Linked DNA regions of Caenorhabditis elegans. The protein of the gene in region 4 binds, or shares a complex with, the protein of the main gene of each other region. Each region holds a gene or a part of one and is shown on either strand. Other genes may lie near its edges.

Region 1 (7,466 bases), on a different chromosome or scaffold from region 4:
AAAATGTTGAAGTATGCTTTTACTAGACTTACGCCTAAGCCTAAGTCTAAGCCTAATCCTAAATAGAATTCTAAGCTGAAGCCTAAGCCTAATAGTAAGCCTAAACACAAGTCTCAGCACAGCTCCCTTGCGTCACTTCCACTGTCTGAAATGTATCTGAAATGTGTTTCCGATTAATATCGAATGGAAATGTTCAATTGAAGAGGTTGTGTACTTTTCTTGATACACTGCAAAGGCATGAAATCGCTTTATGACAGACAAACTACAATCTTGTTTTAAAAGAATAAATCTACTAAAATGCTTTATTCACTGTCACAATAAGTTCACATGCCGTTCATCCTTGCTGTCTCTTGACTTCTTTCGGTTTTCCTGAGACAGGAACAATCGGAGTTGCAGGTGACACAATTCGAGTTGCCAATACTTTTGGTGGCTCATTGGGTTTCATGTAGTACGGTTGAGTACGGAGCCATTCAGATTCACAAATTGCTTTGTAGGTCGGACGGTTCGGTGCATGTGGCTGGAGAATCTCAAGGACCAGAGCCTTCGAAAAGACCGATGATGTGCAACTTTTCGGGAATCTGAAATGAGAAATTTAACTTGAGTTGTCTTTTAAAAAAAAACTACTTAATTTTATGTGCCAACTGTCTCTCGATCATTTTCCTTGGGTCACGATCATCAAATGGCATTGATCCAGCCAGCATTATGTAGAGAATGACCCCAGTACTCCATACGTCAACTGCATTTCCAGAATATTCTCTGCCACGAAAAATTTCTGGAGCCACATATGCTCGCGATCCACAGAATGTTCCAGATTTTTCACCCGGTTTCAGAATTCTCGAGAATCCGAAGTCGCCGAGCTTCACATTTCCATGTTTATCCATAAAGATATTTTCGCATTTGAGATCCCGATGCACAATGTTATAGGATTGCAGATGCTGAATTTATAAATTTAAGAAAAACAGTTTTCTGATATAAAACTTACAGTAAGTGCTGCAATAAGTTGACGAAATGTGAACTTTGCATCTTCCTCTTTCATTGCCACGATATCCTTCATTTTACGGAGCAAATCTCCTCCAGCACAGTACTCATTGACGAAGATGATGTGATCTTGAAATGAAATCATCTCGTACAAACGACAAATATTATCGTGTTTCAAGAGCTTGACAATCTCTTTTTCACGTGGCAAAAACTTTTTGATGTAGTCCTCTTTTTCACGAGTTGGCGTAATGTTGATGATTTTCGCTGCAACTTCGAGCTTTTTCTCTCCGAAAGTTGCGCGTGCCACACGGGAATAGGAGCCACTACCTGTAAATTAATGAATTATAAATTGGAATTAATTTCCAAATGATTACCGAGAACTTTCTCAAATTTGAGCTTCCAGACCTTCTCGAGTGTTGGAGCAAAAGCTTTCGTTTTTGGACTCAGTTCATCAGGTTCTTCTTGGTTCTCAGAAACATCTGAAAATTAGTTATTTTCTCTGAAAATCTGCATAAAATTCTTACCTGTATTGTTTTCCGTTGCCATTTCAACAATTTGCCAGAGAAATATGAATTCAAAATACTGCGAAATTGGTCGATTTTGGTTCGATGAATATTGATTAATAGATTTTTCTTCTCGATTCATCAGTTCATCAAGACATTTTCACGTTTCACGAAAGGTCACTTTTTTTTCGATTTTTCCTTGATTTCTCCGTAAATTTTCTTTGTTGAAAATGTTTAATTAACATTTTATCGGGAAATAAAAATGTTCGCTACTAACTATTTGCTTTCTGGCGCCTGTTACACACCTCATAACATGCCTAATTCCTATAATCTGGATTCGATAATATTATAGGTTTCTTTAAAATGAAGTCTTTGAAAAAGCATGGATTAGAATGAAAATATAAATAATATGATAATTTGAGAGTAATTGAATAACATATACATTTATAAAACAGAGGGTAAAATGGAGTAGTGCTAGTGGGGGACATTTTTAAAAATTCGAAAAGACCCAAATATCAAAATATAACATTCCAACTTGAAAAAAAAACTGTTTGCACCCAAAAAGTTAAGATTTGGCAGCTGGAAATCTACCAAAACAGTTTTGAACAAATTTTAGCGGTTATTTGAAAATTGAGATCTAAAAATTGTTTGCCTTTTTTATTTTGATATCTTGGTCAATTTCAGTGTATTCTGACATAACAGCAACTGGCTTAAATTGAATTAATAGTTATCGTTTTTCCATACAACAAAATCAAGGCATTCTTCGATAAAATTGACGGTTGCAATTTGTCCATCGTCGCTCTCAATATCCCATCCAAGTGTACAATCCAATTCGTCTATTTTGTATCTGAATGTTATTATTTTTCAAATAAAATAATTTAGCTTTTTTCCTTTAATCTCTACAGTAGATAGGTAGCAAGAATTTCTTCAATTAGTATGGCACCCCATCGTTCACGGTTGAGAGCTTATATCTCGGTTGTTTTCAAAAATAATTAACTGATGAAATATTTGGTAGTTCTTTTTATATCGTTTTGTAGTTAATAGTTTTATGATATCTTTGAAATGAACCGAGATATAACCTTTCAAAGTAAAGTAGTCTGTTGAACTAATAGAGGAAATACGGTATGTCAAGATCTTTAGAAACAATATGTGTAACCAAGACCCACAAGTCAAACTATATAGTCAGGTTTTGTTTCAACTGGGTGGCACACTACCCTCAAGAATCAGGGCTCTTCATGTAGCCCACTCGCCAGCTCTACGACAAATAATTTATATTCTCACTTGAACACTTTTGGTCTTCGCTTTCCATTCCACGGTCTGTGAATAATTCGATGCATTACTCCTTCATAGTTTTGAGGTCCATATGAATTGAATCGTATTCTTCGTAGATTCGGCATTCCTCCTGACATCAAATACCCGAATTTAATGTTGATCAAACCGAAATGGGGCAACCTGACACCACATGAATTTACGGTCTCGTCTGTTCCCAAAAATTAATAATAAAGCATTCTAAATTTTACTGTTCGCTTTTCTGTGCATTTCAAAATTTGAAATTTCATAAAACTTGTGTCTCTGACACATCGGTAAAATTTGGCACACTATTATTGAGATCGTTGCGGGACCCACTCGAAAAATTAATATGTGATTTTAAACTGACATTTCACAATTACAATATTTAAGCATTGCTTTAAAGCCACACAATGTTTTTCGGGGTGGGTCTCGATACGGGCTCGGGTCTTAATATCTTGTAACTCTTCCTAATCCCAGGAACATTATGATTCGTTCGTAATTTCTCAATTTGAATATTTTAAATTAAAAAACTTTTAACTGAAATTTTAGAACCAAAAAACTCCGAAATATTTTTCAAATGTCGCAAATTGCAGTTTTCGGTTATTCTTCTCGTAGTTCTACTTCTCGCAGTTCTCATTTCGCTGGTGGCTCGTGTTGGCAGGCAGTAGCAACGACACTCCGATATTCCATAGCGCGCGTTGTTTATCATTTCCTCCTTTCCCGGCGAATTTCTCCTAATTTCTCGATTTTCTTTCTGCAATTTCATTGTTTTTGTTTTATTTATGTTTTCCGTTAAGAAAATTGATTGGAGTTTTATTAGAACATATTACTATACTAATACGCTTATTTTACAGGTAAAAATGTCGACATTCGACCTGACTCAGCGCATGGCGCCTTTTCTCGATCTTCATTTGATCATTCCGCTCTTGGAGTTCATCGAACCACGAGGAGTAAGATTTAAACAATAAATTGTTGATTCTGAAATAGCTGAATTTATTTATATCAATGATAATTGCAGATTTACGATGAGAAATCCCTGACCGAAATGCACCGCCAGCTTTTGACCAAGACCAATATGATTGATAGTGTTATAGAGACCTACAATGGAAAACCTATTCCGGCTGCAATTGAGGCTAAGAAGAAGCAAATTATCAAGGAGAGAGATGAGCTGAAAAGCAAGGTGGACTCCGTTGTTGCCATTTTGGAAATACCGGAAGTCAAGGAAATGATGGATAACAACAGAGAAAGAGATGGAAATGTCCGTATTTTGGAGCATCTCACTCAAAACCACAATGTACGTTTTTGCTTTGCAGTTTCGAAAATAATCTTAATTCTTGCAGTTCACAGTAGACATGGTCGATACCCTCTTCAAGTACAGCAAGTTCATGTACGAATGCGGAAATTACACCGTCGCATCCGTGTGCCTTTACTACTACCGCAACCTTGTCAATCAAGCGGATCCAAACTATTTGAACGCTCTTTACGGAAAGTTGGCCAGTGAAATTCTGCTCCAAGAATGGGAACATGCTCGTGACGATTTGCTGAAACTTCGTGCTTACATCGATGCTAATCCATTCGACACGGAATGGGAACTTGTTACGCAACGTGCGTGGCTTATGCACTGGGCACTTTTCGTCTACTACAATTATCCAAAAGGGCGTGATGAGATTATCGAAATGTTCTTGAACCAGCAACCTTATTTGAATGCAATCCAAGTTTTGGCGCCACATTTGCTCCGCTATCTGGCTGTTGCCGTTGTTACCAGCAAAAGCCGCCAGAAGAACAGCTTGAAAGATTTGGTGAAGGTCATTGACATCGTGAGTTTAACTATTTTCTATATGAAAATATGATTAATTATTTGTTTTTCTACAGGAACGCCATAGTTACAAGGATCCCGTCACTGATTTCCTCACCTGTCTCTACATCAAATATGATTTCGACGAGGCTCAAGAGATGCTTCAAAAGTGCGAAGAGGTTCTCTCCAATGATTTCTTCCTGACTGCTGTCCTTGGAGATTTCCGCGAGTCTGCACGCCTTCTCATTTTCGAGATGTTCTGCCGCATTCATCAGTGCATTACCATAGAAATGCTAGCACGACGATTGAATATGAGCCAAGAGGAAGCTGAACGCTGGATTGTTGACTTGATCAGAACGTATCGTATCGAAGGAGCTAAAATTGACAGCAAGTTGGGACAAGTGGTGATGGGTGTCAAATCCGTCAGCATCCACGAGCAAGTCATGGAAAACACGAAGAGATTGACCCTCCGCGCTCAACAAATCGCCCTTCAATTGGAAAAAGGTCGTCAAGACAAAGTCAAGGCGACTTAGGCTTTACAAGTTCTTCCGGTTTTGAATGTTTTTTCCTTTTTCTTCATCTGATGCTGTTCTGAAAATTGAGATGTGGCAAACACGGAGATTAAGACTGTCATCTCTCAGTTTTCAGTATTATTTTTCTTTCTTATTTGTTCAGCTCCTCGGTTTTTTACGAGGACTACTCGAATTCTGTCTTTTCTAAACTTTCCTTATATCCCTGTTGTTTCTTTTTGTTGTCTCTGACCCTTCTTTCGTTAGTGCAGGGGCTGGAGGTTCGGTTCTAATTGGTTAAAATAATATATTTTCTCTTTTATCATGGTTTGATTATTGTTAGAATCTAGGTTTATGAAACCTTTCAATATATATTTATTGCCGTTGCCGAGAAATTGTTTGAAATTATTTTTTGTGAGGAAAAACACTTCCATCTGTATATTTTGTCATTTCTGTTGAATTTGCCTTACTTTTTCGCTAATTACAGAAATATTTAAGCCATAGGTTCGATTTTGCCGTTTAAAAATTAAATCTCCAAAAATACACATTTTCGCCAATTCACAGTTTTTATGAAATTAAATAATTTATCTCACTCTTTTTCAGTATGTCAATGTTACGGCGTCCATTAACACAATTAGAATTGTGTGAGGACGATATCCAATGGCTGACAGATCAACTGAACAAGAGGGTACTTCCAGCTGTGATCGTGCCAAAATGCGAAATGATGGATATTGACGAAATGGAGCCGATGGATCAGAGTGAGCCTCCACGTGGCATAACTAGGAGAAATCTCAGATCGGCGGATAGAAGTGAGATGATGATTTATTTAATTTTTCCTAACCTAGCTTTTTCAGAGAACAGAGACGTTCCAGGACCAAGTACGGGAGAGTGCACGCGTACTTCCATTGCACCGGTAATTTTTTTTTTTAAATTAAATGTTTTAAACATTACCTTTTAGAATCGATGTGAAATGTCATTCACTGAAGTGCAGGTGACATAATTTTGTGTTGTTGGTGTTTCGAACACTTATTTCTATTCACTTTTTCATATTTATCTTATGGCTATTCTCCGTATTTCCAGACTTTAACATCTGCTCGAACTCCTGTCGCTGCTCCAACTCTAACACTTTCGACGCCAGTCAACCCTGTCTCATCAGCTGAAATGTTGAGAGTTATGCCACCTCGTGTAGGTCGACGTCCACGAGCTTCTCGTTCTGGTGACAATGATTCGCCACTCCTCTTCAACGCTTATGATACACCACAGCAAGGAATCAATGACGAATCTCCAACACCCTCTGACTCTCCCGAATCTCCTAATGCTCATCTCTATGGTGGTCAATGAGTTGTTGGAGGAATATTGTCAATATTTTATTTTCAGCTACTCCCGGCAATCCTACTTCAACTTCTGGAGGACCTTCTTCAAATACACGATCTCACAGACACTAACAACTACTGGTCAGGGTTGTGTTTAGGCAAACGTGCAAAACCCGCTTATTTCAATATAATAATTCACTTTTTGATCTAAAATTGATTTAGAAACGTAGAAAAACTTTTAGAGGTCTTCTCAAGCTTTTCATTAAAAGTGAACCGTTTTATACATTTCTATATTTATCAATTTTTAATTTTTTAAAAACTTGGATTGTTATACTGAAATTCGCAGTTTTACACGCCCTGCTACTGATCTCCCTTTCAATTCCAACTTCCTCAGCGTGCTTTCTTCTTTTTTCGAACTAAATAAATTTGTACAATATTTGAAACAAATATTTCTGAAATGCTACATTTACTGTCATAGTCTGTGATTTTTCTATCTTTCTTTGTTTTTTGAAATTCCAATATTTCATTAATTCTTCACCAGCCCTGTTTCAGAAATTGCAAGATGCACGGGTTAAAACGAAGTCTGATGATCAGAACAGTCTGCCGTGGAAAGGCAACAACTGCAGGAGCAGATCTACCACAATCATCACAAGAAATCGAAGTTACCACCCCAAAATCAGAAAATGTTCCAGCCAAATCAGCGAACGCTTCAACTGTATATCGTCCGCCATACTATCGAAAGCCACATCAGCACCACGAGCCAAAGCATATGCTCCAAGAGGAATTTGTGAACGCTGGCGATGCATCTGGAGCAGGAGTTCGCGTTTTCGACTACTACAAGACTGCAGAAATGGTCCATTCAATGCCAACAATTAAAGAGAAAATTGATTTCGTCTCACCGTACGAGCGACCGTGGACCCGCGCAGAAAAGACATGGCGTAGAGATTGGCATCCAACGTTGATGGCAACACGCAAAGCTTGGGGAATTCCACCGACACCGGCACATTTTGATACTTTGGATTATTATAAATACCTTACAAAGACCAGAGTAGAAAATGAGTCACTTGATGATTTTTAT
Region 2 (7,042 bases), 2.8 Mb from region 4:
GAAACCGTTGATACTTTCTGCGCTGTCGTTCACTCTTGCACTGTTGATGATGGAAATGGTGATACCGTGCAAATTTTGGATGAGAACGGTTGTGCTCTTGATAAGTTCTTGCTCAACAATTTGGAATATCCAACTGATTTGATGGCTGGACAAGAGGCTCACGTCTACAAATACGCTGATCGTTCTCAACTTTTCTATCAATGCCAGATTTCCATTACTGTTAAGGAACCAAATGAGGAGTGTGCTCGCCCAACGTGCTCTGAGCCACAAGGATTTGGAGCAGTTAAGCAAGCTAACCAAACTGCTCAGTTCTTCAGAGTTTTGAAGAAGAGATCCGCTCCAGTAATGGAGAATATTCTTGATGTCCGTGCTGAGCTCACAACTTTGGAAGTTTTGGAAGGAAATGTAAGTTGTCAAAATGGTGTTCATTTGCTCATTCATTGTTTTCAGCTCCCATCTTCTCTCACACAAGCTCAAGCTCTCGTAGCTTCGAGAGAAATCGGAGAAGATTCATTCCGACAAGAATTGTGTATCAGCTCTTTCCATATCTCCGTTGTCACTGTCTTCCTTGGTCTTACCGTTTTCGTGGCTATTTTCATCACTTATATGATCGTATCCCGTATGATGGTGCCATCCGACAAGATGCAATCAGCTTGTTAAATCTCCAACCATGTCAACCGAAATCTCGGTGTGCAATTTTCTTATATAATTTATTGAAGCCCTTATTATTTTGTTTTTCAATGAAAAATAAATTAAAATCTATAATTTTTATATATTTACAAGCAGTGTGAAATGAGATCAAAGCAGTTTGATTGATAACAATTTTAATCAAGTATGAATAATCGACTTCCAACATCATCGCATAACCATGTCATTGCTTGGACCAGTCGATCACCAGAAAGTGCACAGCAACTAAAGATCTTCCAGTGATGGGATTTGATGGAATGGAGATCGAGTACCTAGAAAATTCTTAATAGGTTGAGTAGTTTCAAGGTTCCTATGTTTCCGTGCCTCTTTAAAGATTTTCTTCATTTTCAAAATGTATGTTACGAGAGTAACATGTGAATAATGAATCTAATATAAATATCTACATGTTAAGGCTTACAAGAAAGCATTTCTTTTCGGAAGTATATACTGAAGACATCTGAATTACCTGTGCTATTGAATTCACATCAATGGCCCCTGGCAGATCACTTTTGTTGGCAAGAACTAGAAGAGAAGCACCGGCTAATCGTTCTTCTCCGAGCAATTTTTTGAGTTCTTCGGAGCATTGTAGAAGACGCTCTGAAAAAAGTTTTTATAAATTTGAATGTATCCTAAATATTTGTTTCTACCTCTATCTGACGAATCTACCACCCAAATTAAAGCATCTGTGGATTCGAAATAATTCTTCCAATAAGATCTTAGACTTTTCTGTCCGCCAACATCCCATAAGTTTAGTTGAAAATCTTTGAAATGCACGGTTTTGATATCAAATCCTAATGTTGGTTCAATTGTATCAGTCGGCTCGTCGAGGAATTTTTTCATTAAAGTAGTCTTTCCAGCGTTGTCTAATCCAAGAATTAATATTCTCATCTCGCGTTCCCGAGCACGTTGCTTACGGAGAATCTTCAAGAAGCCCATCTGGAATTTTTGAGTTATAAAATGTTCTATTGCGTTTGAAAATTTTTAGCCATCAGATTTTTATTCAAACTATGATATTTTACATTGGACAGAAACCCAACTCGATTGGAAAAATAGAACGAAAAAATAACCAGGAAGAGATAGATTTATCATTGAAGAAAGAAAAGGAAATACCAACAATTTTCATAGCTAGAACTGCCTTCGTGAAAATAAACTTCACTTGCCAACTCTGATAACCATAGAAAGTAAAAATTATGATTTCAATAGGAAAGAACAACAAACATCGAATTGGTCTACAGTAATTTTCAGTTTAGACAGACACTAGCTACGAAATTATGAAGAACCAAACAGCGGGAAAACATCCAAGTACGCATAACATAAATAAATCAGAAAACGGATTAGTTGCTCGGACGTGTCCATTCGACTTTGAGAACCATATGGTACATTCGGATATCATTGAGTTCTGCAATTGCACGGGCGGCGTCATCTCTTGATTCAAATGTAACGAAGGCGAATCCTTTCGGGAGACCAGTGACTTTGTCACGGGCAATGAAGATTCGGATGACTCTTCCAATCTTTCCGAACAAATCACGAAGTTCGTCTTCGTTCATCTCTTGCGGAAGATTGGTGACACGGCATGTATTCTCATCGGATCTGAAAGTATGTTTTAAAAATAGTTCATAAATTATTCAATCATCAAGATTTTTTGGGCAACTTAGATTACAGTATTTTGAATGCTTACCGATTTCTATCGATTTGTCTTCCATCAGGACGCATTCCCATTGCCATTCTATCCTTTTCAGTATCCTTGTCAGCATCAGCTTCCTCGTCCAATTGGTACATGACCTTGTAAGGACAATGAGTACTCCAATGGTCGTTTCCTTTGCAATGACGGCAATGCTCACGGCTTGTAGTTTTAGCAGTCTGTTTGTCTTCTTGAACGTCAAGAATCTGCTCTCCTGCGCGATTTCTTGTGAATTGCATATCGACTTCTTCAGCCACGTAAGTTGTGGCAACTTGGGGTCCTGCTGGCTCTCCCTTACAACTTCCGAATTTCACCCATTTTTTGCGATCAGCGACGACTTTTGGTACACGTTTGTTGATAACTTTGAACTGTGTCACAACCTGAAATTTGGAATTGAAAGAATTCTAGAGCATAACTCGAGAATTCTGTAAGGCGAATTTTTTGGCCATCGGATAACAAACCTTCCATCTTACTCCATCAACCTCAGTGAAAGCTGTTTCGGTACGTGTTCCATCAGCTCCTTCCTGGATGTGTGGGGCGTCTGCAAAAGCGTTCATCAGTTCATACAGAAATGACTCGTTTTGTTAGGCGGTTGCACTCCAAATGCGAAAACCGTGAAAGTTCACGTAAATATTCTTGAAGACGAGAAATGAAAAACTTACTGTCTTGCTCAACGGCCTCAGCCCAGCTTACAACTTCTGGAGCGGGAGCCATTCTGAAACTTTCTTTACGTAAATAATTATTCGAGGGTGAAAACTCACGCGTTAATGCCAGTCATAGCTGTAACTTTACTACCTGAAAAACTATTGATTATGTTTTTAGCAATATAAAATAAGAAAAAATTTCAAATAAATGGTTTAACAAACTTCAGAATTAAAAAGAAACAGCTCTTCAAAACATGTAGATTTTAAAGTATTTGATTTTTTTTTCCAGAATAAGCGAATATTCAACTAGATTCATAGTTTTTAGCAAATATCTATAAAAACAAACTATAAATATGTAAAAAAAATATTCTACAACAAAAACACGGCTGGAAATCTTTTAAAAATGTAGAAATATCCCGAAAATCGAAAATTTGGGAAACAACGACGCATTGGGAAATCTGTGCATTTGCGCGTGGGATCATGTGTTTGCAGAATTGCGCACCGTATTGCCCAAAAGCCAAATGGCGCCGCCGCTCCGGTTTTCACAGATTATTCAGTCTCATCGGAAGAGATTTCTGAAGAAAATAATAAATATCTTCGTTTTCGGAGAAAATCACAACATTGTATCATGTGTCTAGATTGATCTGCGAAATATAGCAGTTTCCTATCTCTATTCTTATGAGAATTCTTACAAGTCGCCTGATGGACTTGATCACTTGGACGAATTTAACATTCTGATCATTTTCGTTCAAAATACCAATTTAATCAACGATTGTACTGATTTATTAAACTTTTGAACAATATACACACAAAGTTTTGAATGAAAGCAACGAGTTCGAATCAATATAAACAAGGAAATTAAAGAGATCACAAGTGAAATTTGATGTCAATTAGTATTTTTGGTGAGATTTTGTTTTTATGAGGTTTGAAGAGCCCTCCATTGATCTTCTGTAGTTCCACCAATAACTGCTCCATGCATTAGTCTAGTTTTGACGATTGAAGTGGCTCCTTCTAATGGTGAGGACATCTCTCCACACGTATTTCTGAGTCCAATAACTTCGTCAGCTACGGAATAAATGGCGAACATGTTCTTTCCGTATTGGAACGGCCTGAAAAAAATGTTGACTTGTAAAATCATGAAATTAATGTTTATGTGTACAGAAAACAACGTAATTAAATTTAAGTATGCCCTAGTATACCCAAAAAATGAAAAGCCTTGCTGGCTTAGTGGCTAAAAGTTTTGCCTTTCACGCACACCTGCATGAGTTCAATTCCCTGTGCTGGGATACTTTTTTTGCGAAACTTACTGTGAGTTGATCTCTTGTAAGAACTTGGAACGGCAATCCAAACCATGTGTTAAACTACAGATTCCATTCACAAATGGCTGCTTGGCGCACATAATAGCTCCGTGATTTGCTCCACCAACAGAAACATAATTATGAATTAGATGATTAATTGGGCGTCCCAAATTGACTCCACTATCAACACAGTGTCCTCCAAGAATAGCTTTTCTGGTAATTGGAGATCCCATGGAGCAAGCAATGATGTTTACTGGTTTCTGAGTGTATTCATGAACAGCAAGAATGAGAGTGCGAACCTGAAATTTTAGAGTTACAGTTTGGATTGCAATATTCCTTTCGTTGATTGTAATCCCTATTTCACCTATAGATTCCCCTTCATCTTTTCTTTTAGAATATCCTTCTCAATCCGGATCCCTTCCGAAAGATGTCTACCCAACCAGTCATTATAAATCTGTGTTTTGTGTAGTTTGTAAACAATCCCTTCTTTTTTCGGGTCACGTCCTTTTTCCGTTTCAACGTCACTCCGGCCGTTATCAATCGGGTCTTGAAAGATCACCGATCATCCCTTTGTTCTCTATTTATCTATATTAACAGACGAGATCAAACCCAGAAGTTATAGAAATTCCCCCACAAGGCCAGTCTAACTGTGACCATCACAAACTACACATTCACTACACCAGTGGCGCCGCGTCAGAACGGAGACATGATATGGCGAGGTTTTCTCATTGTAAAGATTAGATTTAATGATGATGATGTTGGTGATGATGACAATAGTTACACTACACTTGATCTTAGCTTTTGCAAGTGTTCCTCTTGTAGTTTTCAGAGTCTAAATTAAATTCCCAAATCAAAATGATTTCTCATGTCTATTATATAATCCCATCATTTCTTTACACCTACCTTCAACACATAATCGCATTGCATTCCGTGTTGCAATGAGTCCATCAGCTTTCCTCTTGCATATGTTGTTGCGAATACAGTTCCCTTTGGTTGCCCATACGAATAGTATTTGTTCAATAAACTTTTCTTTGATAATCCAGCGTATCCAGCCAACCCGTGAATTACCACAATTGGAAGACCCCTAAAAGAAACACTTTTTATGAACGGGTGTGTGAAAATACTTGTTCCATCTTGTTTGCGTTTGTTTCGGATCAGGATACGATCAGAAATCGGGATTTGTGACGTCACACACAATGATACGAACACAAACCACCATACATATTTGTGTCGGAATCGTCTTGACCATCAAGTCATGACTGATTCAGTGTGAGAACAAAATGTAATTGGAGGCTACACTTATAGAGGTCAAGTGACACTGCACGGTTTTCTCGTCATCTATGTGTAGCAATCTTTCGATCACTACAACTGTTTTTTTTCGTGTTTTTTTCAAAAAATAAAATCATGACATCATTCTGATTTGAAAGGTGTGATCTGGTTGACATCAGATCATTGGTTATCTGAAGCCGGTCACTAGAACATTGTTCGTCTAGTTCTGATAATAGGTTGCAACAAAATGTCGTAGATCTATCTGTTTAATATTTTAGTTGACTTAGTTTTTGTGACAAATTATTTCAAGTTATTACACACCTAAATTCCAGTCTTGGAATATACGAAATTCAAAAAAGTCTTCTTTGAAAGAAATTGAAATATATATTTGTCGAATTGCAATTGTAAATTCATGAATTTTTAATTTTGAAAATGTCAACGGTAAATTCGCAAAATCATGAGACCTCGCTGTCAAGGTAAGTTCTACGTAGGTCTAACCACGATTGCAGTCACCAAGCTTCACAAAATTGTTCGTAAAATAAGATAATTGAAACATTAAACTCTACGTAAACAAAATGTATCTTGAAAGCTTTTGTAGGAGCGCACGATAAAAAATTGTATTCAAAAGACTATACAAATGTTTTAAAATTTTAAAATTTTGTTTGGAATAAATTGAGTAAATTTTTTGAATTAGGATAAATTCTAGCAATATTTCATTGAATCGAACGAAAAGTGTTTTTCCTATACCATTTTGCTCAACTTTGACTTCTCTCATATCGGTTTACGTTGGTTTTAGCAAAACATTTTGAACAGTAATATTACGAAAAGTATGATATGCCAAATAATTTTCTTTAGTTTCATAGTTGAACAGTTTTTGAATAATCTTGCTTGAGAAAACTGAGATATGAACCGTCAAGGGAGAGCAATGGGAAATGAAGGAAAATTTCCACATTTTTAGAAATCACAACTCACGTTGCATTTGGATTGCCTCCACCAAAAGATCCTTTCGTTCCGAGATCGGGTCTCAATAAATCATCAGCAATGGGTTTTCCAAATTTCCCAAGAAGGAAATTATAAAAATGAGTATGAAACTTTGCATGAGCACATCCAAAAATAACAATCAATAAAAGAAGGGATGATTTGAATAGATGCATATTTGAAAAATAAAGTTTTCAAAAGAGTTCAGACTAAACTGAAGAGACGAAGGCGTCGGATGGTTTCATTATGTAGTGTCCTTCGAACCGTCTGTGTCTTGACTAGACTCCGCCTACCTCGTAGCCTACATCAGATCGTCCGATGGACTCGAAAGAACCTAAAGGGCGGGCGAAAGGACAATGGCTTCGTCGTGGAGGCTATTGTTGTAACGGGGTGGTATGAAGTTAGCGCTTAAAATTTTTCGAAATAACCCCATGGGCTACCGGACAATTGATACCTTTGTATTAAACAAGCAAGTGAAAGTTAGA
Region 3 (7,637 bases), 3.7 Mb from region 4:
AGTGTTCTCTAATCCCATAATCAATGCAATATATGGGTATACTTCGGAACCCCAAGTGGTCGTACTCAAATCTAAATGAGCACATATTCCAGTTGTCATAAGAAGTGTCGATGCAACAGTAAATGAAGAGGCAAAAGCAAGTCCCCATCGAGATGCAACCATTTGAATTTTACGAGAAGAATAGTAGACGTAGATCATGCAAACGAAATAAGTCGATATCAGTGGAATATAATCTGAAAAAGTCTTGAGTGGATGGAAGTACACCTGAACAAATGTTCGTTGATCGTTAGGCGGAGTGTCCTGAAATTAATTGTTTTTTTTAAATGAAAACGTAAAATCCAAAACTCACAACTAATTCAAATTCTTTTTGCAGTTTCTCTCTTATTCCTTGAATAACCTTCTTGCTATATCTTGCAAAAAACATGGTCACAGCGAATTCGATTTCTGAAAAAATACAAAATTAGTAAATGTTTCCTAACTTTCAAATCCTACTTCTTTTTCGATTCGTCTGATATTTCTGCTTAATGCCTGTCGCTGCAATAGGTGCTCCCAACAACAAATCTCTCATGCAAAACGTGGATTTACAATGCTCATTAAAAACCGTAGTGATTGTGTCATCGTCTTCTCGAAATTTTTGCAGATTATTGTACCAAATACTGGCGGGCGAGAGTACAACACAGAGTGATTTTGAACGAAATGGCCATGAGGAGTCTTGTCTCTGATTTGCTAGCCGAAGGCATAGTTCTTCGACAGCGGGCTCTGCGAGCAGAATTTGACGAATTCGAAAAGCCGTCGCAATTGCCGCACGAACAGCATGCTCCGGTCCCATTTCTGTTGCATTCCATGGAGATATTGTAGTGGAGACAATGAATTGCTGGATGTATGATGCCGGATTTTCATTTATCCAGAAGGGGGCGATTTTGTCTAAATATTAGCTGATTTTCTGGGTTTTAATTGAATATTCTACCATTAACATGTAAATGTTCACTCCAAAATACATCAATCGGAGTGCTGACTGGTAGACGGAGACGTGTGATTGTTGGATATGAGAGGACAATCATTGTGAGAAGGGACATTGAGAGGCAGGCTTTTGGATGGGCGGCACATAATCTGAAAAATTTTATTTTCGGAAACTTGGTTTTTTTGCTAGAGAAATTATTAAGAACTATACTTCTACTTTATTCAAAAATTTTCAGATAGACTATTAAGAAATACTGATGAATTGGACACAAAAAGCATGCGAATGTCGAAAAAAATTATACTACACTCGGACAAGTAATGCAAAAATTTTAATGCAAAAGTATATATTTAATGCAAAATGAATGAGGAAAAATAGCCAAAAACTGTGAAACTATGATTTTGTAAAATGCACACTTGTCCGAGTGTAGTACAAAATCTCTCGTACATGGACACTCGTTTTTTTTCGGATTTATGTTAAAATCCATGATAATTTTTCGAAATATTTACCGTCCATAATCGTGATATGCGTTTCCAATTCTCTCCTTAGCCTCCTTCCATCGAATTTTCACTCGATCGTTCATTTTTTATCGATTTTTTCAAAATTATTTTCTCATGTAGATCTGAACGCTCTAGTGATAATTTCAAAATCAGATTATTCCGAGCCCAGATATAGAAATTCATGCAAAAAACAATTCAGTCATCCCATCAGACGCCTTTAACAACGAGGTTTATCCGATAGAAAGTGATCATCATCAGAAACCTTCAAACATTGATTTTTCTTTAAAACCAAATCAATAAGAAGGCTAAATTATGAGAAAAAGAAAACAACAAATACTAATTTCAGACAATCCATTAAAAAAAAAAGGCAGATAGATAGAAAACATGGGGAGAAATATTTTAAGAATTGGAAGAAGGATGATATAAATGGATGGAAAGAAAAACAACAAACGCCAACCAAAAAAAAATATATTAGAAAAAATCGGGACAAAAACGAGTTTATAGTGTGGAGAACAAAAATTAGGCCGACACAAGACGTTCGTGAACTTGAAGTTGAGTTTGAGTCAATTTGGCAAGGTACGAAACCATCACGTAGTCCTGAAAAAGAAGAAAACAAATATTTGAAGAGGTTTAGCTTTTTTTTGTTTTTAGATTCTCGTCAACTGCTTTTTCTCGCGGGCATATTGTTTACATGAGTATACACCCATTTTTCATGGTTTTTGGTCATTGAGAAGATAGGTTTCACAAGTTTTTTATTTACAAGTTTCTATTTATGTGTTTGTGCAATGCTCTAATTGAGATAATAATAAAGACAATTTAATTGTATGCATAAATTTCAAAAAATTGGAAACGCTAATTTCAAATTCGGGAGGGTAGCGGATATCATATCCCGACATCTACCGGGTTTCGCGCGGCACAGAAAATGTATAGGCATTCCCTAAATTTGCAGATTTTTCGTGTTTTTAGCTAAAGATTTAATTTCCTCAATTTTTGAGAAAAAAAAACTAACAATTCTGTACTAAACTGAAAAACGTATAAACTTTACTAATTTCCAACAAAAAAACTTTTTGAGGTTATTAAAAAAAACTATTTTGATCAAGATATTCGAAATTTTCAAAATCACGTACGAATATTACACAACTTTTCATTTCTCGCTTTTTAAATATTTTTGGCTGAAAACTTACACGAAGAGTATTCTTGACAAGAGTATCGAGCTTCTCTGGCTGCATATTGTTTGACGAGGCAGTGACAATATCCATGAGTTGACGACCGATTTGAGCATCTCCTGGCTTCTCACCGTTCTTGTTAACATCTTCCACGTAACTGAAAATCACGGTTTATTCTCCAATTAAGATAATTTTAAATGTTAAAACTCACTGCAACATTCTCTCCAACCACTCAATCATCTGAGCTGTGCTCGTCTCCAATTGCTCCAATCCACTTTCAAGAGTTGCCTCTCTTCTTCTGGAATCCAAAGCTTTTTCGATAAGTTGCATAGCAACCAGTTCTCCCGGGAATGCAGCTAATTCGACACGAAGTGGGTTGAAAATAGCACAGTGTGGTCCAGCAGCTCCAGGAATTCCGGCTTTTGAGCGAAGATAGGCACGAACTGGCATACGCTTTGACATATCTCCAGAGAAAGTCGTGTCAATTGTCAAAACGACAATTGGTGGAGATTCACGACGAGCCGATGCTTCAGTGATGACACGTACATAGTAGTCGTGATAGATGAGACACGAAGAAGTAATGTCAGATGTTGTAAGGAACCATCCAACTGGTTGCTCATTTGGAGAAGTTTTCTTTAATGCAGAGATCATTTGTTGATTGAATTGATCATCGATTTCCAAATCGTCGTTGCTCTCATTGAAAGGGATCGCGAAACAATTTGTGACCTGGAAAATAAAAATTGGAGAAAATATCATGAATTCCAAAAAAAATATTATTAGCGAAAATCATCCATTTTGCAAACTTTTCAGGGTTACAGCGGCCAGAACTTGCTTCTAGTTCCACAAAAATGCAATAAATTGTAATAATTGAATATTATTAAGTTCCGACCTTTGTGACACGGGAAAGCTTGCAAAATTGAAGATTTTAGCTGAAAGTATACTTTTTTCAAAATTTTGGCATATTTTTGTGTGAGCACTTGAGCATTCGGTCATTTTGAGTTTTTATTCGTTGTTTTAGATACTTTTTCGGTCGATGGTATTTACATAAAATTAAAAAAATTAGATTAAATACAGTTCCAGACACCAATAAGCTTGCAAAATTTCAGTTTTTTCAAAAAATTAGGCTCTTTTTTCTGTAATTATAAATATTTTTACCTGAATCGATCCTTTCTCATAGTATCCCATAAGTGTTCCCATGCACTTTTCCTGTCCTGTATTTTTCGCAGAACTCTTGGTACGTCTCATATGAGTGTCGACAACATTCATGTAGACTCCCGGGTGGACATTGACAGTTAAATTCGAAGCCATATTGACTTTTTTCTGAACCCTGTAATTGAAAAAAAAACTAAATTAAAGAAATAATCTGAATCAAAATAGTAAATTCAGCTGAAAACTGAAAAATGGTTTTGAAAAAATCAATAAAAAATATAAAGTTCTTAATAAATATTTTAAATTATTTATTTATTTACAATTAAAAGAAAAATTGTGTTTTTCAACGAAAAAAAAGAGAAAATAAAATAAATGTTCTGTGAATCAGAGAAAGAGATATAATTCCACTTATACATATATACTTTATCCTGGGAACGAGAGGGGGCATCAAGAGAGAGAGGGCATAGACTTAGTCTACCGAAAGTTTATAGTTTTATCACAACTTTTACTTATATTCACATGAGATTTTTAGAGAGACGTGCAAAAATTAAAAAAAAAAACAAAAAATAAATGGTGGAATTTTAGATAGTTTTTGTGTGCAACTAGACTTCTGAGCTTATTTGGAATCATTTTTCGATGCGGAAAAAAATTATGGGTAAATTGGCTTTGTTTTCTACGTGTTTCCCCATAATTTTGAACTAAACACTTTCTCTAATGTCATTTTTTGTTGTTAAATTTACAAGTTAATTTCTTCGCCTCAATCCATCGGCTGTTTCTCCTGAACCATAAGCTGGTGGTGCTTCAAATTGTCCAGCAACATGAAGTTCTTCAGTTGGATGTGGGCCGCGTTCTGGTCCGATTCCTGGATATGGTGGTGGTGCTGAGCTCATGAAAACTCGTGATGGGTTCGGCTGATCTGGGAACGAATCGGTGGTTGGATTGAAACCATTTGGTCCTGAAAATGTGAAATCTATTATTAATCGGATTAACCGGGGAATAATTTTAAAATAAAAAAAAAGTTAAATGCGGTTTAATATTATTTTTCTAACGAATTTGATAAGAAAACCATTAAATCCAAAGAAAGATGGTAAAATCAATTCAAAAATCAACAAAATTGTGAAACAAAAATGCAACGAGGTGGAAGAAAGTTGCATTAGAGCACGTTTTCATTTTTGCAAAACTGTCTGACCAGAACTGAAGATTTTTGGTATTTTTAGCAAAAAATCTCTCTTAAACAAAAAGTGATCGAAAAAAAAAAGAAAAAACTCGTTTTTTTAAAAATTAATCTTTAAAAAATTTTAAAAAATGTTTCAAACTTGGATTCCTTTTTTTTTCGTTTTTCAAAAAAGTGAAAAATGTTCAAATTCATACAAATCTCTAATGATTACGCTTAACATTTTTTAGGTAATTTTAATTTCGAATTCAGGATTATTTTTAATGTTCAAAAAATCTTACCTTGATCCGGCGACGGCTGATAATAAGCTGGCGGTGCAGAGTAGAAATCTCCAATTGGTGGAGAATATGCAGGTGGAGCATTCTCTGGTCTCATTCGAACAGCTCTTTCGACTGCTTGCAATAGAGATTGCCCGAATTCAATACATCCCCCTCTGTTGAATGTCATTCTCCATTTAACCTCTCCGCGCATTTGTCCTCCTTGAACAGCCGAGGCGATTCCACATAGGTAGTTGGCTCCGAAAATCGGCTGGTTTAAGTTAACATCTTGCATACTGTTGAATGGAATTTCAAATGATTTCAGCCAATCTCCAGGGTCTGGCATGAAAATGATTCTGTGTGATGTGAGGTAGATGGTTCCCGTTCGACGTCCTTCCAAATTCTATAAATTCGAAAATATGATTATAATTTTCAGCATTTGTGCTAATGAAGATTTTTGGTGTTTAAAAGATATGAAAAAAATACTGCAATAAATTACCTCATTTTCACTGGTTCCTAGTGTCATTACTACTCCTTGTGCAAAAATCACGATGGTTTCTCCATTATACAGTAGGACACCAAGTCCGTCCGGCGTGTTCGCCGTGTTGATGGACATCTAAATATAAATTAAACAAGTGGTAGCAGGATAAAAAAAGGTACCCAGAAGCGGATTTTCTATCGAAAAACCGAAGCATAATACGAAAAAAAAACAAATGAAAATGTTAGTTTAGGGAAAAATCTTCGTTTAAATTTTAAAAAATTATAAAATTGGGGAAAAAGCACAATAATTAGAGACCTAGATCATATTTACAACAAAAAAACCGGTTCAAAGTTGAGATAACCTATCAAAAATTGAGGGCAGGCAAAAGACTAGCTATACATTTTCGTGTCAATGAAAGGATGGAAAAATAAAATAAAATGGCAAAAAAGCACCAAAAAGCCGTGATGAAAACTTACAAAAACAAGTGACAAAATTACATGTTTTAGAGAACCTATTTTCGAGTCTATGTGATAATAGAACTAGAAACAAACAAACAAACAAACAATTGCACACACCTAGAATCTAAGAAAATCGTTTTAGCTGATCAAACATCGAGGAGATTTCAGATTTTTTCACGTTGTAATTGAGCCATGAACTCTTCGAGTTTCTCTTGGATTCGGCGAACTTGTTCTGAAATGGAGAATGTATAATTTTGTTTTGAATGAAACTTCGCAACATTTTGAAATTGAAAATGGAATCTCAATTATAAAAATTTACATTACATTTGGAATTTAAAGAATTTTAAAAGTATAACTTTGCATGAGAAATCCAGGTTTTCATTAATAAAAATTTGAAGATCAGAAAAAAACATACGAATTTCTTCTGCAAGATCGACACGTCTTCCCGTCAAATATTTCTTTTTAATATCTGGCTCTTGTGACCAATCATCCAACACCTCCTTAATCTCTTTTTCCAGCCTTCTGTGTTCAGTATTTGTGATTTGTTGCCGCAGTGCGTTACACGTCAAGTTGACCATCTTTTGGATTCTGTAGAAAAGTACGATGGTTTGGCAATCGATATCTTGTCCTTCAATCATTCCTTGACGATACATCTGATACATCGATAGACAGTCCTTGCTGCTCTGCAGAAAATATTTTATAAAAATTTAATTTCAAATGTTTCAGTCACACTTACATTAATTATCCTCTCCAAAAAGTGCTTCTTAAATACTAATTTCCATTGTTTTCTAATCGATTCAGTGGGAACTTCAAGTACGCCTTTCGTCTCAATATTTCTTCTGATTACAGTAATATCATCATCAGTCAACGCCTGTTTGTGCTCTGGATCTGCTCCTAAAATTGAGTAAAGCTCGTCCTGAATGACACATGAATAATGATTATCAGCAGTTGGGGTCTTCCACATTAGCCATTTCGATGCCCAACCCGGTCCTCTGTCGTCAGTAAGCTGCTTCTTCACTGCTGCAAGACGTTCTGATGCAGCCTTGTGAAGGAAATTGCATGCAGCATCCCATGATCGTTTATCCTGAACAGCACGATCCTCCATTGCATTCAATTGAATTACTCGGAGATAATCCATCGCTTTGTCATCCCATCCGTGCGTCAGCATAGCTTCTTCGATTACTGCTTCCTGGAATTAAATTATTTAAATTTTAATCATTCAAAAAAAACTACCTTTAAAGCATCAAACACTGGATCATGATCTTTTTTCGTTCTGGCATCTTGATTAATTTGTCTAAAGAAAACTTCTTTCAAAGTATCCCATCCGGTTTCGATGCTCTTTTGAGCCAGTTGCTTATCAGCAAAGTGTTTCAACTTGATATCAACTGTTGTGTTGAAAGATCCGGAACTTGAAGAAGCATACGCAGGCATCAATATCTGATCAAAAACATGTGAAGATATTCCTGACCATAGTTTGTCTTGAAGTAGTTTCTC
Region 4 (8,119 bases):
AAAATTTAACTTTTGTCTAAACTGATGGATTTTCAAAACTTAATACTTCCGAGTTCCTGTAGGATTTTTTAAAACTTTCTGTCGGCTATTTTTTGTTTTACATAGCTTCACATAATAAAGTTTATTTTTTGACACAATAACTCTGTGAAACCGAATTATGTAGACGGGCGGCCACCTCGACGTGATATTCTTTCACTTTGTGACGTATATTCCTAAGTTTGTCTAAGTTCATTTATATTAAGTTCCCATGTGTATCCAATTCCCTTGCTCCAGAGTGATTTTCTGGGCTCTTTCACGTCAGAACTTTGTAGATGGAAGAAACCTTTTTTAGAATTCTGAAAAAAAGGAAGTGAGGTCGATTATTAAATAAAATAGAAAACAGTTGGAGGAAAAGAATAAATAACATAAATGATGATAAATGAGGTGATAGTACGCGCAGAAAACAAGAAATCAGATAGAGTGAACGAATATTGATGACATTTTTTGACAGTTGAACGATCAGAGTCTATTGACTGTAATTCATTATATTACAGTTACAATAAAATCTTGTATTGGATACGGGAAACGAGATTGTCACTGATTAAAGTAAATTGATTTTATGTGTTTCATCTTATGAAACTTTTATCTTTAGTTAATTCAGAATTACTAAATGTCGAATTTTAAAAAAATACGGTGCCCGGTTTCAACACGGCACGTGTTTGTTAAATGCGAAAAGGTGTGTTCCTTCAAAAAGTACTTAAAAATGTTAAAATTTGTTTTTACATTTTTAATCGACAAATATGAAAAGTTTTCTTTAAATTAGTTTGAAATTACATATCTCTTTAAAGGCCCACTCGTTTTGTACAGAAAAATAACGTGTCGAGACTGGGCTGCGTATTTTTGGCGCAAAAATTGCAAAAGTCGCGTCTGGGTAATATCACCAACTAAGTATCTCGGCTCACATCATACTAGAATTACGGTTCAAACTTTGAAAATTCATTCAAAAGATCATATCTAAAAATTAATTTACAAATAAAATTATCATGTTTACAAGAAATATACAAAAAAACCAATTCAAAAATAAAAAAATACTCCAAAGTTTTCAATTTATTCTACAAAATGCATCAGTTATTCACAGTTTTCCTTCGGTGAACTTGCGGAGAAGGCTCTCCAATTTCATTGCTCCTGGCATATCACCGGAGATTTGGAGCTTCTTTGTCATCAGAGCAGTCGTCGGACGGAGTTTTCCAGTGAAGAGTGGAGCGAAATGTTCTGGAGCAAGTGTGAATTTAACATCAGCTTTGCCTGAAGCCTTCTTATCTGTCAGTGCTCCTTCTCCGTTTTTCAAGTCCAAAGTAATGATTCTCTCGCTTTTTGTAGTTGGGTCTAAAGAAATTCATATAGAACTATAGATTTCAAACGGAATTGACCTTTTAACAAGAATTCATACACGAATCCAGTTTTCTTTACAATATCAGCATTAAGCAGGCGCTTTGCAGATGTGAATATCTGTTTGATCTCTTCTTCAACAACTCCGGCTTCGTGAGTCTTATTCTTTTTTCCGATCTGTGCTCCAGATGAGAACTTGTGATCGTAAGTTCCTGCAGGAATAAAGAAATCGGGCATCAATGGAGCATCTGGCACACATGCATATCTGGAAAAATTAATAAATTCCAATTATCCAGAAAATGAGCAATTACCTATCAAAATCAGTAACTCCTTCAGCTTTCAGAATATCTTCATCAATGCAGAAATTTCCAGTAAAATCCTTGGAGTTTTTGGATAGAACTGCATATGCTGCATCAGCCATAATTGATGGTTTACGGCTTCCAGCTTCTCCTCCTTTGTCAGAAAGCATTTCCATTGCAGCAGTCCAAATTGCGGTCAGTGGCCATAGAGCGTTCACAGCAATACCTGAATTATGGAAATTAAAATAACGATGAAAATTAATATTTTACTATTATAAATGTTCGATATACTGAAATTTCTTACACAAAAATATGGTACTCGGTACGTACAAAAGTATGTGCACCTTTACGGGGTACTGTATCCAATGGTGGCATTTTTCGACTTTTTCGATTTTTCGATGTGTTTCAGTGAAAATCGAAAAATCGAAAGTTTTCGATTTTTCGATTCTATGGAAAATCTAAAAATCGAAAAAATGTTCAGAAAATTGATTATAAAATTTTTTATCTAATTTTGCTTATAATGATGAGAAAAAACATAGAAATTTCTTCTAAAAAGAGGGATAATGGCCAAAATATTAAGCTGATTTTTGAAACATCGAAAGAGAACTATATTATTAAATTTTTCGATTTTCAAAAAAAAACCGAAAAACGACTGTAGCCCCTAACACTTCGGATAGTTAGGAGCTACAGTACTCACTGTACGTATTTTTTAAAAATATTTCGAGATTTTCAAAAATCGAATATTTTTTCAAATATATTACCATGTGGTCTGAATTCTTCATGCTGCCCGAGAACACACATCGACATTCCATACTTGGCCATTGTATAGGCAACATGATTAGCAAACCAGCGAGTCTCCATCAAAAGTGGAGGTGAAATGTTCAGAACGTGCGGATTCTTTCCAGATTTCAGATATGGCAAACAAGTTTTTGTCATGAGGAATGTTCCACGTGTATTGATCGAGTGCATCAAGTCGTAGCGCTTCATTTCAGTATTTTCTGTGTCGGTAAGTGAAATTGCTGAAGCATTGTTGATAAGGATATCAATTCCTCCGAACTTTTTTACAGCTTCTTCAACTGATGCTTTCACAGAAGCTTCATCTCGAACATCGACGATGCATGGAAGGGCTTTTCCTCCGGCCTAGAAATAATTGTTTTTTGTTTAAAAAAACTTCCTTAAAATTATTTATATCCAGCAATTTTCTATATTACCTTCTCAATCTCTTCAGCAGCAGAGTAAATGGTTCCAGGAAGTTTTGGATGAGCTGTGGCTGTCTTTGCTGCCACCACAATATTTGCACCATCTTTTGCCAATTTCAGTGCGATTTCCTTTCCAATTCCTCGAGAAGCGCCAGTAATCAGAACTGTTCGCCCGACAAATTTTCTGTAGAATCAGAACTTTATTATACGGGAAGTTATTTATATAACTCACCCAGTGTTGAACATTTTATTATTGACACTGTCTTCAAAGGATTACTGTAGAATCTGAAACTCCGAAATTTAGAATTAATTCGGCGAGCCAAGAAGAGAAACAATAATTTTTTTTAATTTTGAAAACAAACGGGAAAAAAAATCGGGATCAATGGAAAAGATTGTTGTTGTCCTCCTGTTCTACTTATCTTCCCTCGAGACTGGAGACGCAGGCATAACTAGTGGGAGAATACACATAAGACTACGTTCTAGGTGAAAACCATGGACCTATAGGTCAAAGTACAGTCTATCACTGTACATACAAGACTACTCGTAAGAGAGATTAATAATTATTCGGAAAAAATTGAGAAGTAGTTGCGATGAGCGTAGAATATAAACAATCATAAATTAACTTCATAAGAAAAACCAAAAAAATTTACTAAACTTATTATGAACCATGGATACAAAATAATTGGGAGATAAGAGAAAAAAAGGAAGTTTAGGACCAAAACGAAAAGACAACAACAGGAGAAAGTGGTATAAATAAACGGAGAGATGTTTTTAATTTTCAACAAGAGATATAATGTTAACAAACGAGTGGGAGTTGGTGTGAAACTAAACGAAATTAACCGGAAATCAACCAGTCATGTTTCGTTTAGCTCAAATACTTTTTAAGGATCATGGTTTCTGGATATCGAGTCGTTTGAGCACATCCTGAACCTCTTGCAACTTCTGAATATGTCGAATGAAATGTTCACCGACGTGACGAGCAACTTTGGTATCGGCAATATTGATCATATCACGGTCTACGTAAAAGTCAATATCTGTTTGTGGCTCATCGTCGTCTGCTGATGATGGTCCGGCTTCTTTGCCAAGCTCATTGACGATCATCTGAAATTCAAAATATTACATCAACACTCGAGATCATCGGAAATTCTTATATATACCTTGTAAGTGAGAAGCTTTCCAATGAACGAATCATAGTGCTCATCATCAACATCCATGAACGACGCAAGCTTCTTAGTTGGAAGTGTTGTGTAAAGTTTCAGGTATCCACGAAGAACTGGTAACGCCATCTGTGATTCAATACCTTCCAGGAAAGATTGAGTTTGACGAAGAAGTGGTTCTTTCGATTGGTTGACTCCCTCATAGACAACTGTGGTTGGAGACAAGAACTTTGGACATCTGCAACAATACAATACTATACAATTACTTGACTAATTTCGTTTCCTACCCAGTAGCAAAAGCATTTCTGAATTCATCGATATTCCCGTTCGCCATGTGCATCATACGCTCACCACATCGCTCCGAAAGCTGAGAAGCAATGCTTTCATCGATTCTTTGTGGCTGGATGGCGAGGCAGATTGCAAGAAGATGGAAAAGCTGATCCCACGTCTTTCCAATCTGAAATCGGCAGAATATTATTGGGTCTTCATTAGATATTCAATTATTGTGCAAATATTGTGCAAAAAATTTAGAAAGTACTCACAACATCATATTGGAAGTTCTTTTTCGATGGCTGCTGATTTTGAACACTCTTTGTTCTTTGAATATAAAGCAGACAATTGACGAACATCTTTGTAGCTTCTCCGTAATTTCTCATCATCAAATGAGAAAATCCAACAAAGTAATGGAGAGTAACAAGGCAAGTTGGAACTGTATTGTAGATTCCTTTTGGATCAATATCCACGTATTGCACGGTTTTCAAAGCCTGATGATAGTCTCCTAGAAGAACGTGAGTGCGGAGAAGTCCGATGAGAGCGAAATATCCAAGCTTGAAGTAGAGATCCGATTGACCGAATTCATCGGCGACCGAATCCGGATTGCGTTTTTCCTGGAACGACTGTAGAGTTGAAAGCAAAAAAATAATATTGAATTAAACAAACCTTCAATGCCTTGAGCTGCTCCACAATTTGGGATTTTGATAGAAGCGAATAGAGAATGTTGAGAACTGGATAGATATTCCACGCGTTCTGATTTTCTTCGATATTGATGAGATCTTCAACTTCATCAGCATTGCGTTTTCCTGGGTTAGCCTTGTAGAGACAGAATGCCTGAATATTTATATTACGTACAAACTCTACCAAAAAATATTACCTGGAATTGATAGACGAATTCGTCGATAATATCCCAAAGCCACACGTTAGGGAGAGACAATGGAATTGGATCCTTGCTTGAGAGAAGCTCAGAGAATAACTCTTGATAGTTCATGAACGACTCATAGCGATGGACAAGGAGTGGTCCACGAGTATTTCTTGCATACAGCTGGCGATAATAGAGTTCCTTGTAGAGAATTATGAACAACTTGTTGCCAGGTCCAATAATTCTTTCGACAACATTCTCATCGGGCCACATGCGATCACGGAAGAATCTGAAATTAAAAGATAAATAGAAAACAATTTGAGATTATTAAATATTACCTCTCGGTGAGATCTGGAAAAGCTTGATCGTAGAGAGTCAAAATTTCCGGCACATTTTGTTCGTCAACCATGCGGGAAAAGTAGACCAGGTAGTCGGCGACCTCATTTGGAACTCCATCCTCATCGGCTGAAGCTGTTAAAAATTAAGAAATGAGATAAGTTTGTGTTGTTAACAAGCACCTAAATAACTACCATAAATATGTTTATAGAATTACTCTATTGATTGATTATCAATTTTTCTTTTGAAAAGATTTCACAATGCACGATCATTGATCCTCTGATACTCAACTTCTCTCTCGGGCTTTTAAATGATTAACTTCTTATGAACTCTTATGAACACCTTTTCATTTATTATTTCTTTCAAATGAATAAAGCTGTGATTCATTTAATCTGAGATTTGAGGATATTCGACACCGAAAAACACTGAAAATGACAAAAGTAGTCATTTTCATATACAATGAGGGAGTTCTGAGAATTGGCATTGATTCTTCACTGTAACAGTATTTGGAAAATTTGGTTTTTCTGAATTTTATGTATTTTGCTCATGGAATGTTAATCTGCAGTTTTTATGCAAAATTATTTCAGACCAAATTCTCCAAATGTCTGTTTGCCGAATTAAAATAAATCGGTTAATCAAAAAAGGACCGAGTCTTCAGTCTTTTCGAACTGTTTCAAATTTTAACATTTTTCAACTCATTTTACTCTTATTCATCAATTCTGAAAAATAGCATTCTGTGAACTTACAAGAAAAGGTGTTGGTGCGACGACGATCAGAGTGATCTTCAGTGGATAAATCGAATTCCACGCGTCGAGACATTACTGAAAGAAGGTTTTTATATTGATATTATTTAAATGTCAAACTAAATTCGAAAAGGTACGCTAAAATTAAGAGAAAACATTTTTTTAATTGTAAAATTTGATGAAAGGAATTGGAAAATGTGATGGAAAAAAGAAAATTGCAAGCGTTGCATGGGATTTCGCAAGAGTGCCGCACGGTTTTTTGTGTACGCATTTGCTCGTCATTCATGTTGTCTAGGCAGTTTTGATGACATTTTTTATTCTAAAAACAAAATGTTTTATTTCATTTGCTGTTTAATGTTTGAATATGTATGGAAACTAATTTGATACCCTTTCCGCTGCATTATTTTTGCAAAATCTCAAAATTATATATCTTCAATTCACTACCTAGAAGGCATATCTTCCTGCATTTAAAAATCTATTTTATTTCAGATATGGTAATTGAAGTCCCTCAAACTGAGCGTGTCAACGACGTTGATGTTTTTTTAAGCACGCAAGATGGTCAAATTCAGCGTCCAAAAGGGCCCAACTGTCGGCATCCTGTACGTCAAAAGTGCACTAATTGTTTGCCTGTTGATGTAAGTGATATTTTCTGTTGTTTTCATAGAAACTAATATCAATATTTACAGCCATTCGATGAAGAATATTTGAAAGAAAAAGATATCAAGCATATGAGCTTCCATGCACATGTTCGCAAGCTCCTTGGATCCCAGGGGAAGGGCACGACTCTCAAAAAACCGCTGGAAAACTTTCGATGTTCATTAAAACCCAACTGTGATGCTCACAAGCCGTTCCCGAAAGGAATTTGCACTAAATGCAAACCACAGGTTGTAACATTGAATCGTCAAAAGTTTCGTCATGTTGATAACATTCAAATTGAAAATCAAGAGCTTGTAAATCAGTTTTTGGATTATTGGAGACTATCGGGCCATCAGCGTGTTGGATTTTTAATTGGACAGTATCAGCCTCACCTTGAAGTTCCACTAGGAATCAAGGTAAGTTCAGTACTTCATCACTCATTTCTTGAGACGAGTTATTTCATTGCTCATACTTTCAGGCTACAGTGGCTGCAATTTATGAACCTCCACAACACTGCCGTGAAGATGGAATTGAGTTTTTGGAGGATAAAAATCAAAAAACTATTGACAATTTGCTGGAAATGCTTGGCTTGCAACGTGTTGGATGGATCTTCACAGATTGTTGGACAGCTAATAGTGCTGAAGGAACTGTACATTATACACGGCACAAGGTGAGAACAATCTCGAAGAGAAGCCCAAAAAACGAATAATTTTTCAGGATTCCTTCTTCCTATCAGCTGAGGAATGCATCACCGCAGCAATGCTTCAAAATCAACATCCAAACATCACAGAGTACTCGATGGATCGTCACTATGGATCCAAATTTGTGACCGTTGTTGCATCTGGTGATGAATCGATGCATGTTAATTTCCACGGATATCAAGTTTCAAATCAATGTGCGGCCATGGTTGAAGCTGATATTCTCTGTCCAACACTGTACACTCCTGAATTGGCTTATGTTCGAGAGACACCATTATCCGAAGAACATTATATAACTGATGTTCAATTTTCGATGAAAAATGAATACGGAGCCGAGGTTATGAAAAACGGACGACCACTTCCAGTTGAATATTTGCTGGTGGATGTTCCTGCTGGAATGCCAAAAGAGCCTCACTACACGTTCCACGTTGGCACATCTAATAAATCGAAGAGTGCCAAATTTAATGTTGAAAATCGACAAGCAATTGGACAACTTCAAGGAGGTGCAAATTTGATTCAATATTCATCCGAATTCTCTACAAATCAAT

Evidence for each region.
Region 1: eif-3.L (region 4) and eif-3.E share a complex: the UniProt entries of both Caenorhabditis elegans proteins name them as parts of the eukaryotic translation initiation factor 3 (eIF-3) complex.
Region 2: eif-3.L (region 4) and eif-3.G share a complex: the UniProt entries of both Caenorhabditis elegans proteins name them as parts of the eukaryotic translation initiation factor 3 (eIF-3) complex.
Region 3: eif-3.L (region 4) and eif-3.F share a complex: the UniProt entries of both Caenorhabditis elegans proteins name them as parts of the eukaryotic translation initiation factor 3 (eIF-3) complex.

The regions. Positions count from the first base shown.
Region 1 is NC_003279.8:10,638,441-10,645,906, reverse strand, and holds eif-3.E (Eukaryotic translation initiation factor 3 subunit E), read left to right. Parts: upstream 1-3,625; 5' UTR 3,626-3,631; coding exon 3,632-3,721; intron 3,722-3,789; coding exon 3,790-4,065; intron 4,066-4,111; coding exon 4,112-4,588; intron 4,589-4,643; coding exon 4,644-5,099; 3' UTR 5,100-5,384; downstream 5,385-7,466. Other genes in the region: tag-344 (Protein kinase domain-containing protein), read right to left, coding at 335-578, 625-935, 983-1,305, 1,353-1,457, 1,503-1,623; B0511.17 (DUF4283 domain-containing protein), read right to left, coding at 2,202-2,328, 2,763-2,878; cdc-26 (Anaphase-promoting complex subunit CDC26), read left to right, coding at 5,680-5,884, 5,930-5,988, 6,156-6,408, 6,453-6,520; mrps-30 (Mitochondrial Ribosomal Protein, Small), read left to right, coding at 6,951-7,466. UniProt on the Caenorhabditis elegans protein: Component of the eukaryotic translation initiation factor 3 (eIF-3) complex, which is involved in protein synthesis of a specialized repertoire of mRNAs and, together with other initiation factors, stimulates binding of mRNA and methionyl-tRNAi to the 40S ribosome.
Region 2 is NC_003280.10:8,438,888-8,445,929, reverse strand, and holds eif-3.G (Eukaryotic translation initiation factor 3 subunit G), read right to left. Parts: upstream 3,164-7,042; 5' UTR 3,147-3,163; coding exon 3,130-3,146; intron 3,084-3,129; coding exon 3,031-3,083; intron 2,910-3,030; coding exon 2,830-2,909; intron 2,749-2,829; coding exon 2,366-2,748; intron 2,278-2,365; coding exon 2,022-2,277; 3' UTR 1,755-2,021; downstream 1-1,754. Other genes in the region: cut-3 (Cuticlin-3), read left to right, coding at 1-405, 451-660; evl-20 (ADP-ribosylation factor-like protein 2), read right to left, coding at 825-959, 1,154-1,284, 1,335-1,623; lips-10 (LIPaSe related), read right to left, coding at 3,929-4,121, 4,320-4,609, 5,214-5,394, 6,552-6,733. UniProt on the Caenorhabditis elegans protein: RNA-binding component of the eukaryotic translation initiation factor 3 (eIF-3) complex, which is involved in protein synthesis of a specialized repertoire of mRNAs and, together with other initiation factors, stimulates binding of mRNA and methionyl-tRNAi to the 40S ribosome.
Region 3 is NC_003280.10:9,327,957-9,335,593, reverse strand, and holds eif-3.F (Eukaryotic translation initiation factor 3 subunit F), read right to left. Parts: upstream 3,952-7,637; 5' UTR 3,933-3,951; coding exon 3,780-3,932; intron 3,351-3,779; coding exon 2,836-3,350; intron 2,782-2,835; coding exon 2,643-2,781; intron 2,056-2,642; coding exon 1,978-2,055; 3' UTR 1,624-1,977; downstream 1-1,623. Other genes in the region: scp-1 (Sterol regulatory element-binding protein cleavage-activating protein), read right to left, coding at 1-300, 350-444, 493-924, 968-1,110, 1,468-1,541; wbp-2 (GRAM domain-containing protein), read right to left, coding at 4,517-4,728, 5,229-5,607, 5,704-5,820; eat-3 (Dynamin-like GTPase OPA1, mitochondrial), read right to left, coding at 6,308-6,375, 6,559-6,826, 6,880-7,332, 7,377-7,637. UniProt on the Caenorhabditis elegans protein: Component of the eukaryotic translation initiation factor 3 (eIF-3) complex, which is involved in protein synthesis of a specialized repertoire of mRNAs and, together with other initiation factors, stimulates binding of mRNA and methionyl-tRNAi to the 40S ribosome.
Region 4 is NC_003280.10:5,616,169-5,624,287, forward strand, and holds eif-3.L (Eukaryotic translation initiation factor 3 subunit L), read right to left. Parts: upstream 6,314-8,119; coding exon 6,241-6,313; intron 5,630-6,240; coding exon of another isoform or gene 5,624-5,629; coding exon 5,497-5,623; intron 5,448-5,496; coding exon 5,174-5,447; intron 5,131-5,173; coding exon 4,963-5,130; intron 4,920-4,962; coding exon 4,566-4,919; intron 4,481-4,565; coding exon 4,311-4,480; intron 4,262-4,310; coding exon 4,024-4,261; intron 3,968-4,023; coding exon 3,755-3,967; downstream 1-3,754. Other genes in the region: dhs-6 (Hydroxysteroid dehydrogenase-like protein 2), read right to left, coding at 1,112-1,365, 1,410-1,633, 1,680-1,893, 2,429-2,807, 2,879-3,050, 3,099-3,112; npl-4.2 (Nuclear protein localization protein 4 homolog 2), read left to right, coding at 6,729-6,872, 6,924-7,289, 7,352-7,543, 7,591-8,119. UniProt on the Caenorhabditis elegans protein: Component of the eukaryotic translation initiation factor 3 (eIF-3) complex, which is involved in protein synthesis of a specialized repertoire of mRNAs and, together with other initiation factors, stimulates binding of mRNA and methionyl-tRNAi to the 40S ribosome.